Linked DNA regions of Cricetulus griseus. The protein of the gene in region 1 binds, or shares a complex with, the protein of each later gene. Links are inferred from orthologs where the notes say so. Each region holds a gene or a part of one and is shown on either strand. Other genes may lie near its edges. The genes, in order: Lrp6 and Sost.

Evidence for each region.
Region 2: the proteins of Lrp6 (region 1) and Sost are in contact, whole or in part, in a crystal structure (PDB 6L6R), measured with the Homo sapiens proteins. The link is inferred for Cricetulus griseus from reciprocal best matches to the Homo sapiens genes LRP6 and SOST. Residues at the interface, in NP_001401174.1 of Homo sapiens: Arg28, Asp52, Val70, Ser71, Glu73, Leu95, Ser96, Asp98, Glu115, Arg141, Trp157, Trp183, Asn185, Ala201, His226, Phe228, Trp242, Met269, Arg336, His361, Asp379, His404, Asp406, Thr422, Glu447, Arg449, Trp465, Trp491, Asn493, His534; in NP_079513.1 of Homo sapiens: Leu115, Pro116, Asn117, Ala118, Ile119, Gly120, Arg121, Arg169, Thr171, Arg172, His174, Asn175, Gln176, Ser177.

What each region holds. Positions count from the first base shown.
Region 1 is NC_048601.1:14,478,834-14,485,377, forward strand, and holds part of Lrp6 (low-density lipoprotein receptor-related protein 6), read left to right. Parts: intron 1-1,246; coding exon 1,247-1,458; intron 1,459-2,648; coding exon 2,649-2,839; intron 2,840-5,738; coding exon 5,739-5,948; intron 5,949-6,544. UniProt on the Homo sapiens protein: Component of the Wnt-Fzd-LRP5-LRP6 complex that triggers beta-catenin signaling through inducing aggregation of receptor-ligand complexes into ribosome-sized signalosomes.
Region 2 is NC_048600.1:116,127,968-116,134,611, forward strand, and holds Sost (sclerostin), read left to right. Parts: upstream 1-2,861; coding exon 2,862-3,081; intron 3,082-5,441; coding exon 5,442-5,863; downstream 5,864-6,644. UniProt on the Homo sapiens protein: Negative regulator of bone growth that acts through inhibition of Wnt signaling and bone formation.

The DNA.
Region 1 (6,544 bases):
GTGTTATTGATTCTGTATTTTTTTGGTTACTATTTGGGGACTTTAGAATGAGAATAAGGATAATATCAGTCTTATCTGTGCCTATGTGCCATTGTGGATTTCAATACTATTATTTATACTCCTTCCTTCTAGGGTCAGTCAGTGTAAGCTTGAGATTACAATAGCTATCTATCGTCTTCCTTATTCGAAAGATTTTAAATTGGATTTTGAATGGTTAAAATTTAGAGAAATATTACTCAATTTTTCTGTCTTACCTTACAGTAAAGAACAAGGAGGGCGAGATATACATACATTCATACATACATACATACATACATACATACATACATACATACTTACGAGTGCAATGTGGTCATACTTTGTACTCCAGCTGTACCTTGTACTACATAGGCTAGTACTCAATAACTGGTAGAGAGAAATTACACAGCCAAAGATAATAAATGATATAAGTAGTTTTTAAAAGGCTATATTAGCTCAAAGTCCTAGTAAATGAAATAAAATTTATATGGACAGAATAAATAGACAAATCTGCTTTTGGTTGGCTTTACAAGAAAAAAACTTATTATTAATTTGTAGTCAGGCATCTTGGTATAGGGCAGTAGTCCCAGCATGTAGGAACCTAAAAATGAAAGCTCCTAGCCAATAGATTAAGACCCTGTGTCTGAATAGTGCGGCGTGCGGGCGTGCGTGCGTGCGCTCCTGATTGCTATTTTCTCCAGAAGAATAAGGTTTCTCACACTTGGTATTGCTGGTCTTAGGGACTGCACAGTTCTTTGCTGTAAGGCTACCCTATGTATGCACTACAGGATGTTTAGAAGCATTCTTGGTCTGTATTTATCCAGTAGTCATCAGTAGGTTTCTCACATTTTGACATTCCCAATGCCCATGGATGCAATATCACCCTTAGTTGAGAACTACTGCTCTAGAGGTATCTCCAGGGTGTGATTGGAGCCACAGTTGTTTATAGTTATGGGGGAAAGCTGGTACCTCCTCTGATCAAGACATTGTCAGATTCCTGGACTATCTTTGCTATCCTCAGCATACTCTTCTGTTCCATAAAGCAACCCAGGGGGATATTTGAAATGCATGTTAACAAGCAGATATACCACTCATAAAAGCCCTTTCTATAAGAAATATCCCCAAAGACTGGATACCCTTCTGAGGTGTGACCTCACAAATTAATAATTGTGGTCATGGCCTGTAGTTTGGTGTGGAATCTAACTTGTGTGTTTTTTCCTTTCTTTAGGGTTTTACTGTAGTTGTTAGCTCAGTTCCAAATCAGAACCTCGAAATACAGCCCTATGACCTCAGCATCGATATTTATAGCCGTTACATCTACTGGACCTGTGAAGCTACCAATGTCATTGATGTGACAAGATTAGATGGGCGATCAATTGGAGTGGTTCTAAAAGGCGAGCAAGACAGACCCAGAGCCATTGTGGTAAACCCTGAGAAAGGGTATGTTACAAAAGCCTCAGTTTTCCACTTTCGCCTCTGATGCCCTCTTCACCCTTCCTTGCACCAGCAAACAACTCTACTCAGTGTTTCCCATTTACTTGGTCCTGCATTTTCTTACTGTTTTTTCTGATTTTACTGCCCAGAGTTCTTTCATTGGTTTAGTTCTAAATCCCACCCATACCCTCCAGGACTATTTCACTGCCACATCTTCTGTGTGGCTTGCCTTGATCTCCTTCATCCCCCAGCCAGGTGTGATTCTCTCACTTCTGGAATCTAGTGCCTACTCTGTGTCTTCTTAGTCATGATTATTCCTTTCCAGTTTGCTTTACTCAACTGTTTTTCTGTTACATGGTTATTACTAGACCTTCGGCTCCATTATAAATAACTAGTATGTCTGCTTTCATTTAATGGAGTTTGTATGTGATTTAGAAAAAAAAAAAGTCAATGCTCAGCTGCATCTGAATAGATGATAAGGGCATTAGCAGGAAAATGGCTTAATTCTAGAGTTACAGAAAAGGGATGAAACCTATAAATGATTTGTGTGTCCCATCTTTGGTAATTAAAATGGTTAATTAGAGAAATGCCTAAAAATTTTGTAACTAGATCTCTCTGGACATTATTTTTTTCTGTGAAATTTAACTCTCTGAACACTTACTTCTTGGTGCCCTCTGTGACTGTTATTAAAAATAATAAATATATCCCTTGACCTTTGTAAAAAAATAGACTGGGAGTGGGCAGGGAGAACCTGGAGAAAGTTTAATCAGTAGGTGCTCTCAGTTGAGCAGCTCTAGCACACTATTGCACAGTAGGCTGATTGCTAAGAGCGACCGACTGCAGAGTGCATACCCCAGAAGTCCATCAGAAAGACTTTGTTTACCGTAAACAGTAAATGCTTGAGGATATAGATATATTTAACCTAACTATGAAGTATATCCGTGCTTTGAACTGTCCGATTATTCCATTATATGCATAGTATGTCTTTGCATATAGCTGAGAATTTTTAGATAGATTTGAAAGTATTTTACCTCCTATCTTTATAAATAAATGTTTGTGGTTTGGGGGATTAAGCCCAAGGCCTTGCACGTGTTATGCAAGTGGTCTCCCACTGAGCTGTACTTTCTGCATATTCTTAACAAGAATATTCTCAGTTTGTCTGGCTCTTTGGTAACTTTTTCTCCTGTTGTTTTCAGGTATATGTATTTTACCAATCTCCAGGAAAGATCTCCTAAAATCGAAAGGGCTGCCTTGGATGGAACAGAACGGGAGGTCCTCTTTTTCAGTGGCTTAAGTAAACCAATTGCTTTGGCACTGGACAGCAAGCTGGGCAAGCTCTTCTGGGCTGATTCAGACCTCCGGCGAATTGAAAGCAGTGATCTCTCAGGTACCCAAAGTGTTTCTGTATCGTGACTTAAATTTTAAGATGATTTCACTACTGTGCATTTGTACTTCTTTTGTGTTGTTTTTGTACATGATTATAATTTTTTCATTAAATATATTCTGCATTATGTTAGTTGGGGGGATGTTTGAGATTACATCCTTGTTCCCTAATTACTCAGCAGTTTTGTTGATCTGAAAATTATGTATCTTTTTGTTTTCTTTCCTAATTCTTCCACTCTACTTTTACATTCTGTCCTCTCTGAAATCTAGCCTATGATTGATCTCTCTGCATTTTTCCATATGAAAGTTCAGAAGCACTCTCCCATATGCAGACGTTGTTCTGAAGTGTGTTTCCTAATATGTCTCCTTAAGATCTGAGTATTCTCACTCTTCAAACAGTCATCATTTTTACCTTTTGTTTCTCTGTGGTCTTCTCTCTTCTATCATAATTCATGATATCCAGTTTCTGCATGGCCTCTTTAGTGACCAGGAAGATAAAATTGAAATAATACACTGTTTATTTTTGTCAGAATGGCAAAAAGTATGTTGAAGTTTATTAAACCCAGTACTTGCCAGGATGGTAGAAATAACATACTCTCCTAAGGGTGAAGGTGGAGCTCATTGGTACAGCATCTGCCTAATGTGAATGCTGAATCCTGTCTCCCGCACCACAAATCCAGGACACTTTGGGGTCAATTAAAAGAGTAGAACCTCTAGTGGAGGACAGTCTGCCAATAGTTACCAGGATTGAAAGGAGGTAGAGCCTTTGATTTGGCAGTTACTCTTTTAGATGACTGTCTGACAGAAATACTAACAGAGTGATCACTGAACATCATTTGTGATAGTGTTTCATGGAGAAATTCCATGTAGCCTATCAGTATGTGACTATCAGTGCCACTCAAGAATAAGGAAAGGTGTTAAGTGCTTGTAATCATAGCACTTGGAAACAGAAGCAGGAAGACTCTTATTTTGAGACCTGCTGGACTAATTCCAAAAACCTGTTAAAACAAAAACAAAAACAAACCAGCCAGCCCCCACCTTGCTATGTGAACCTCTCTGTTGCCTAAAAGCAGTGGTGGAATTTCTACATAATAGAGACAGTAGCACACCCATTTGTACCGACAGATAAAAATGAATGTGGATTCTCTCCAAAGTTTTAATAGTCTAAAGAACCTATCAACATTATATGAGAATTGTCTCCCTAGCACTTGGTAATGTTGGGGATTTTTATAAGTCCAGTAGTTTGAAATGTATATAATAGTAGCAATTTTTTCTTACTTATGGAAATGGAACAAAATTTCTTTTGTGTTGATTGATAGTTTGCATTTCCCTGTTTCTTACTGCTCATAAGTCCCATCCCCCGTCCCCCGACACCCCCCTTTCTGTCCCCATACCACTGTTTTAAAGAAAGCCTTGCACTGTTTACCACACTGACCAAAAACTTGAGGTACCCCTGCCTGCTTATGCCTTCTGAGCAGCTGCAATGTGGGTATATACCACTGTACTCATCTGCCATTTTCCACTTTGAATTTCTAGAATTTTTTTGTGGGTTCAGAATATGAATTTACTGCTAAGGTATATGAAAGTGAATCTGTCTGGTCAGGGTCAACCTTGGCCTTGTTTAGTAGAGTTTTATCTGGAGTTATCTTGTACTTTGAGGTTCATGGGAACCTCCATTTGCTGATAAGACAAGAAACTTTGCATTTTTGTCTACTTAGTCTCAATACCATTGACTAGACAATCTGCCTTTTCCACTATTTTGAGATTTAAGTTTAAAAAAATAACTGTTTTGCCTGAATGCATGTTTGTGTAGTACATGTGTACCCGGTACCTGCCAGGGACTGGAGTTAGAGACGGGTGAGCTGCCGTGTGGTCACCTGGAATCATGCAGCTCACTGCTAGAGCACTTGTCTAGCTATAAGCAAGGCCTTGGGGTCAGTCCTCAGAAATGCGCGCGCATGCACGCACTCTCTCTCTCACACACACACACACACACACACACACACACACACACACACACACACACACACGAAAATTCTTACACATATGAGTCCATAAAACTTTTGATTTTGGCCGGGCATTGGTGGCGCACGCCTTTAATCCCAGCACTGGGGAGGAGAGGCAAGCGGATCTCTGTGAGTTCGAGGCTAGCCTGGTCTACAGAGCGAGTGCCAGGATAGGCTCCAAAGCTACACAGAGAAACCCTGTCTCGGAAAAAAAAAAAAAACTTTCGATGTTGCTGACTTGTACATGGTCCTCCTTTTTCTTCAGAGGATATGTTCTGAGATCCTCTGAGAGCATGGATGACACCAAACTCTAGAGGTGCCAAGAATCACCTGTCTATGCTTCAACATTACCACACCATCCAGAAGCTAATCCCCCCTGCCTTGTATTACTGTTCTTGGACATTGAGTCCAGGATATTACAGGATTAGTCCATAACCTGTGAGTCAGATGGACTGTGTATTTTTAGAAGCCAAGTGGAATCAGGGTAGAATTGTTTTTGATAAATGTCTCAGGTGTTTGCAGAACGTGGGGGGTGCTAAGCATAGAACCCTGGGCTTTCTACCACTGCTTCATCTAGACAAGCATTGCTTTCATCTGCTTTGTTGTGTTAGTTTTTCATATAATTTAATTTGAAAATGGATTCTGCTAAAAACAAATTGAAACTCACTGTCCCAAGTTCTTTGCTACATTTCCTAACTAGAAAAGTCCCTGTATATTGGTAATTAATTCCCAGTTGCACATGTCTGGTTTAGTACCGTTTTCTGGTACAGTTAAGTCTCATGGTGCAGAGCTTGTATTTCCCATACTTTTCGAGTCCACTTAGTATTCATTGGATAACTGTGGAAAGTGGGATTTGGCCACACAAATCATTACTGTTGAATATTTTCCTTTTCCAAGGTGCCAACAGGATAGTGCTAGAAGACTCTAATATCTTGCAGCCTGTGGGTCTGACTGTGTTTGAAAACTGGCTCTATTGGATTGATAAGCAGCAGCAAATGATTGAAAAAATTGACATGACTGGTCGAGAAGGAAGAACGAAGGTCCAGGCTCGAATTGCTCAGCTGAGTGACATCCATGCAGTAAAGGAGCTGAACCTGCACGAGTATAGTAAGTGAGGTGGACGGTGCAAGAAGCACTGTGTGTGTTGTAAGAAACAAGACATGGTCTTGTGGCTTCTTCACATCATTTTTCTTCTTTACTTTGTTATTACATTTAGAAAAACATTGTTGAGTATGAAATCTTAGCACCAAGGGGTGGAGGCAGGAAGGTTGCCCACTTGAAACCAGCTTGGACTGTCTAGCTAGACCTAGTCTCAGTAAACCAAGACCTGGAATGTAGCTCAGTAGTAAAGCACTTGCTTAGCACCCACAGGACCTGGATTTGGTCTTCAGACCAAGTAGATAATTGAATAATATTGTATACCTGAAAGACCGAGAACCACCTCTGTTGATGCACATTCAGATATCATAAGTAATGTCCGTTTGGGGCATTCTGCTCCTTTGTGGATCGTCGACAATCTTAACATCAACACAAATTTATGTAGCACCCATATTATGATGGAAAACAAATCATAATGGATGGCTCTATTGCATAATGATAACAATACTGTAACAGCAAACACAGGGTTGTTTGTAACACAAGCTAAATAGAAAATTCAGAGCAATGACTTCATAAAGTACAAGTTGTGAAATCGACATTGAAAA
Region 2 (6,644 bases), on another chromosome or scaffold:
ACATCTCTGTGAGTTCCAGGCCAGCCTGGTCTACAGAGTGAGTTCCAGGACATCCAGGGCTACACAGAGAAACCCTGTCTTGAAAAACAAACCAAAAAAGGAGGAGGAGGAGGAGGAGGAGGGGAGGAGGAGGAGGAGAGAGAGAGAGAGAGAGAGAGAGAGAGAGAGAGAGAGAGAGAGAGGAGAAAGAAAGAAAGAAAGAATACCCTATACCCTAGTCAAGAGGGATCAAGAGACCTGAAGTTTCACTTAACCTTGAGAAATGATAAGGTTTTTGTGTAGAGTAAATACACCCATCACTCTCTTAACCTCAAGTGAAAAAGACAAGGCAGGCACTACAAGCAGGTTCTCAGAGCTATCCTGTGAAGGGTAAAGCTCCCGTTGGCCGAGAATGACCCAGAGGGATGGGCCATTAAGGAGTTCAATTTCTCTGTACACACCCTTTTTCCTTTAATCCCAAGCCTGACCTCTCTCTGGTCACTTGGTTTCTCCTTTTATGTCCAGCAGGTGGCAGAAGTGTTCCAAGAACTGGTCCTCATCTCCATCAGCTATGAGAACCATTTTGCATGGTGACAGAACCCCTGCCCAGGAACTGCCCTCTCCCAAGTCTGGAGGGAGCAACAGGCCGGCTCTCTGGCCCAGATAGGGTTAACAGTCCACATTCCAGAGCAGGGAAAAAGGAGACTGGAGGTCACAGACAAAAGGAGGGGGCAGCTTCTAACAACACCACAGCTCTGGTGTGAGAGATAGATCACCCCCAACAATGGCCACAGCTGTTTTTGTCTGCCCCGAAGGAAACTGACTTAGGAAGCAGGTATCGGAGAGGGCCCTTCCTGGAGGGGCTTCTGTCTGCCTTGTAAAGCTGTCAAAGCAGCTGCATTGATGTGTGGGGGATGGGAGATGAAAGGAGGACACAGGCGGTTGGCCACAGATGGACAGGCCACTTACAAGTCGAGGCAGGTGGCAGAGCCCTGCAGAAGCGGTGCAGGTGGAGGACACTGATTCATTGCACAGTTAGCATACCGAGGCAAAGTGGACCATAACCTCCTTCCCAGCCTTCCTCCAGGGCCATCTCAGCAAAGGCTTCTGCAGGTCCTTCCTCCTTTTTTTGCACCTCAGGTGTGAACCCTCCTGCTCATACCCCTCCTTCTGCCTGTCCATGGCCCTCTGCTCCTGCTGGCTGAGCCAGCAGCTCCTTTGGATTTCTTTGTGCCTAGACCAGTGGTTCTCAACCTGTCCGTCGAGCCACCCACCCCCAACCCCGCCGTGGGGGTTGTTGAATGACACTTCCAAGGGGATCAACCACCCTGAGATGAAGGGAAATATCAGATATTTACATTATAATTCATTACAGTTACAAAGTAGCTATGAAAATAATTTTCTGAAGAACTGCCTTAAAGGGTCACAGCATTAGGAAGGTTGAGAAGCAGTCGCTTAGATGGACCTGAGATGGCTCTCTGAAACTCCCCTGTTATATATGTCCCTTGGATTTTTCATCTAAGACTCAGTTGCTTATGAAAATATAATGAGAGACTGGAGAGGTGACTTGGTGAGTAAGAGCACATGTTGTGCAAGCATGAAGACCTGAGTTCAAATCCCTACCATCCATGTGGAAAAGTGGTCATACATGCTTATAACCCCAGGATTGGGGGGTGGGGGGTGGGGCAGAGGCAGGTGGATCACGGGAGGCCACTAGCCAGCCTAACCTGAATGTCTCAGGAAGAGATCCTGTCTCAGGGAATAACCTGGAGAGTGACAGAGGAGCACACACCTCCCCTGGTCTGTATGCACCCACACATACATGTACCCTCTCACACATATACCATGCACACATGTACACAGCAAGTGTAATACTCTGAGAAATGGCGGCACTAACTGAGAAATGTCACCACTAAAAGCACTGGCCTTGGCTTTTGCTAAGAAATAGGATTCTGTGTTGCCTGCCCCAGGCCTGGCCAGGGAAGGAACTGCCTTTGGCACACCAGTCTATAAGCCACATCAAGTTCCCTGGCTAAGCATCACCTGTGATGGATCCCAGGTCCCAAAGGGTAGAAGAGATTTCCTCTTTGTGCTCCATCTCCAAGAGCTGTGCTTACCCTCCACCTGTTGCCAGAATCCCACCTTCTCACCGGTGGCTCTGGACTCTCTACTTCTCCCTGGTTTTAAGGAGAAAGCCAAGGGACTTTTGCTCGGAATCTTCAGTGCTGAGCCATATGAACTTGAGGCCAATGGGATTTCTTTAAAAGCACCCGTGTAGAAGAGTGCTTGCATAGCAAGCATGAGACTCTTAGGTTGGATTCCCCCAAATAAAAAAGGCATCCTTCTGCTTGTGGGTGGGTAGTGGGGTGCAACAGACACCTTTAATTAAGACCATTAGCTGGTGGGGTGACAAAGGAACTTGGCTAGAGGAATTTGGTCAGCTGGACTCTGCCTTCTGTAGAACTCCACATGTTTCCTTTGTTAAGCTGGCCCACAGTTTGTTTTGAGAATGCCTGAGGGGCCCAGGGAGCCAGACAATTAAAAGCCAAGCTCATTTTGATATCTGAAAACCACAGCCGTCAGAACGTGGGAGGTGCTGGGAGAGTTGGCTCTGTCCTTGCCTCACCGCACCCCCTCCCACTTGGGTCACCTGGGAGTGCCAGCAGCAATTTGGAAGTTTGCTGAGCTTAAGAAGTCTTGGGGAGGGCTTGCTCTGAGCACACCCCTTTCCCCTGAGGAGGGGGGGTGAGGAAACTTGGGAACAGCCCTGTTCTAGTCCATCCTTATTGGCTGGCATGAGGCAGAGGGGGTTTTAAAAGGCGACTGTATCTAGGCTGGGGACTGGAGCCTGTGCTACTGAGTGCCTTCCTCCATCTGGCACCATGCAGCTCTCGCTAGCCCTGTGTCTTGTCTTCCTGCTTGTACATGCAGCCTTCCGTGCTGTGGAGGGTCAAGGGTGGCAAGCCTTCAAGAATGATGCCACCGAAATCATCCCTGGGCTCAGAGAGTACCCTGAGCCTCCCCAGGAGCTGGAGAACAACCAGACCATGAACCGGGCAGAGAATGGAGGGAGACCTCCCCACCATCCCTATGACACCAAAGGTATGGGATGGAGAAGACAAGTTGTTAGCATGGGGGCCCGGGAGGTAATGGGGGTAGTTTTAGAATCTGCTCTTTGGAGGCCTTGGAGATTGGGCGGATAGTTAGCCTCTGCCACACCAGGGGAGGGACAAGCTTGCCTGGAAGAATGCTAGCACAGCATTAGAGTCTGAGGACAGGCTTGGGGAGGGGGGCTGGCTGAGCACCCAAGACAGGGGTCAGGCCGAGATCAGCCGAAGCTGGCATTAACTTAGGCAAGGGCTTGTAGGATGGTTCAAAGAATCTCCTAGATCTGGCTGGACCAGTGGGAAGGTGACAAGGTAAGGCTGGTAAGCACCTTGATGGATGCTGTGGCTGTACTGTATGGCCACCCCATAAGGTAATCCTAGCTTGAAGGTGGATAGATTGAGGCTCCTGAGATAAAGCCACCTTGGAGAAGGGGTAAAAGAGCTGAGACTGGAAGCTGGTTTGATCCAGTTGCAACACAACCCTAGATTGGGTTTGGATTGGAACCTGAAGCCGGAAAGAACCCCCACTCAGTTCCCCCTGTTGGGCGCAGTGGGTTAGCATCAGAGAACAGGCTTTTAGGTACAGTTTTAGCCAGTGACATGACTGGCAGATGAGTGTAGCGTCCCCCCATATGGGCACAGGTGGCACCATCTGCCCTCTGCTTGCACCCTGGCCCAGCTTTGTCTCTCCTGTCTCTCCTGTCTCCTGGCCAGTGAGGAGAATGGGGAAAGCGCTACCCTGGAGAAGCAGGAGCAGAGGAGCGTGCAATGTGGTCACGTTTTGCAGAGGAAGTGCCTGACCTAAGGACACTATTCTTGGAAAACCCCCAAACTTATCCTTCCCTGGGCAAATCGACTCGCCTCCACATACCACCTCTACAGGGGTGAGGAAGTCAAATCAGCCCAGAAACCAAAGAGCCAGCCACAGAAGGGTAACACTTCCGCAGCTGTGCCTGCTCTCTGGGGTGGAGGTGGTTGCTGGCCTCTGCTTCTCTCTGGTTTTGGTTCTGGAACTTTTTTTTTTTTTTTTAAATCTTTTCATGCCATATTAGGGCTCATTCTGTGAAACTTTTGGGGGTAGACAGGACTCACATATGAATTATCTAGCTTAAAAGCTCCTGTCCACCCACCTAAGCCCATGGTGGGAGACATAGCCTGGGTGTGTGCATGAGATGAGGCCAGGCATGGGACCCAGCCTCTTCCACAGAAGGCAGGCTTGCATCACCATGAGCTATTGTTCAAGGCACACAGAACACGAGAGCCTGGTATGCAGCAGGTGCTAAACAAATGCTTATGGGGGTAGAAGCTGTAGGGCTGGGGGCCAGAACTCTGACTCCCTCTGCTAAGGAAGTAGCTAGCGAAGAGTGAGCAGCCCTCTCCCCCCCACCCCAACCCCTCCCCAACCTGGGATCCTCTAACAAATCACTTTCACCCTTGAAGGAGCCAGAAGGTGCTGGCATCCTAGGCAGGGGTGTCAGGCAACCCAGTCCTGCCTTTGGGGCAAGTTCTTTTCTCAGCCTGGACCTGTGATAATGAGGGGGTTGCAAACGCCGCCTTTGGTTGCTTTCAAGTCTAATGAATTCTTATCCCTGCCACCCGCCCTTCTACCCGCTTCTCTACAGCAGCTGTCCTGATTTATTACCTTCAATTAACCTCCACTAGTTTCTCCATCTCCTGAGCCCCCGTCCCTGCTCCAGTGACTGGTAAAAAATTTAGAAGGGACCAGAGTCAGCCCTAGCTGGCTAGCGGCTGCTAGGCAGGGCTGGGGATAAGGAGCTAAATTTCTAGAAGATTGCTTGGCTATTATGCGCGAAGCTCAGGGCCGGATCCCTAGTACCTCATAAGCCAGACAGTGGGTGATCCACGCCTGTATACCACCACCGGAGAGGTGAAGATGGGAGCTCAGACACTCAAGATCATCCTCAAGTACACAGCTCATTTCAGGCCAGCCTGGGCTACATAAGACCCAGTCCCCAAACAAGAACATACTGCCAGCTCTGACTGTGCCATGTAGCGCCCGGTATAATGCGCATGTAGTGGATGAAGCCATTGAATCCTGGGGCAACCTGTTTTACAGATGTGGGGAAGAGAGACGTTAAGTTGCTTGCCCACCGACCACATAGAAAGTAAATGGCCGAGCTCTGGTGTTTGATCACTGGCTTCTAAGGACAGTGAGCAGCCAGGGAGAGATCTTCCCCTGCAAGCTCCAAAAGTACCTGGTGCTTCCTTCCTATAAGCCATGCATGGCTGAGAAAGCGCCTGGAGAGCAGCAGGTTTGGAAAAAGCAGGGAGAAAATAGCGGGAGCAGGCCAGCCTGGGCTAGGCTGCCGCCCTTACGCTTCGCTCTCTCCGCAGACGTGTCCGAATACAGCTGCCGCGAGCTGCACTACACCCGCTTCGTGACGGACGGGCCGTGTCGCAGCGCCAAGCCGGTCACCGAGCTGGTGTGTTCGGGCCAGTGTGGCCCCGCGCGCCTGCTGCCTAACGCCATCGGCCGCGTGAAGTGGTGGCGCCCAAACGGACCCGACTTCCGCTGCATCCCGGACCGCTACCGCGCGCAGCGGGTGCAACTGCTGTGTCCCGGCGGCGCGGCGCCGCGCGCACGCAAGGTGCGTCTGGTGGCCTCCTGCAAGTGCAAGCGCCTCACCCGCTTCCACAACCAGTCGGAGCTCAAGGACTTCGGACTGGAGACCGCACGACCGCAGAAGGGTCGCAAGCCACGGCCTCGCGCCCGGGGCGCCAAAGCCAACCAGGCGGAGCTGGAGAACGCCTACTAGAGCGCTCTCGGGCTCCCGCAGCCCCCGCGCGATCCGACTCGTTTTCATTGTAACGCCTGTAGCCCAGGCCAGGGGCGCCAAACCTTCCAGGCCATGCGGAGTCCCCAGCCGCTAGAGTCCCCTTGCCCTCCTGCCGGTTGCGGGAGTTCCCGCAGGCCAGGAGAGGGAGCTGAGTCATAGACACTGAGCCACTCTGCCCAGCCAGGGGCGGTGCGGGGGAGGGGGGCTCCTACCCTCGCCGGTCCCCTACAGGACACGGTAGCATTTTCACCGTAAAGGGAGCAGAGTGTGGAAGGACCTGGCACTGGTTACAGAAGTACAGTAAGATTCCCCACCCCACCCCACTGTAAAGCCCGTGTGTGCAAGAACACAGGACTAGATAGGATTTCTGGCCTTGGCTTGGCCACTGAGTGTGAGTTTGGGCTACGTGGTTCTCTTCTGGTACCTCAGTGTCTCCTTTGTAAAATATGGGTCACGGTGAGATTAGACTCTCCAAGGACTCTGCTGAGCTTCCAAGGGTTGGGGTGCTCCCATATGGACAGGTGGAGGAGACAGGGAGAGAATGAGGGAGAGAGAGAGAGAAGAAAAGAGATTTCTGCTTGGCAACCTCCTAGAAGAGGCTGTTGATTCCCAGTCTGGCCTCCCCGGATGTTTGGCTACCCCCACTCCTTCGTCTCAAATTTGCCTTCAAACTGGGGTAGAGAAGGACAGGGTCTCAGAGATGGTGGAAGGGACAGAAATCGCACCCCTGGTCCCCAAAGATCAGTTTCCTGCCCCCCAC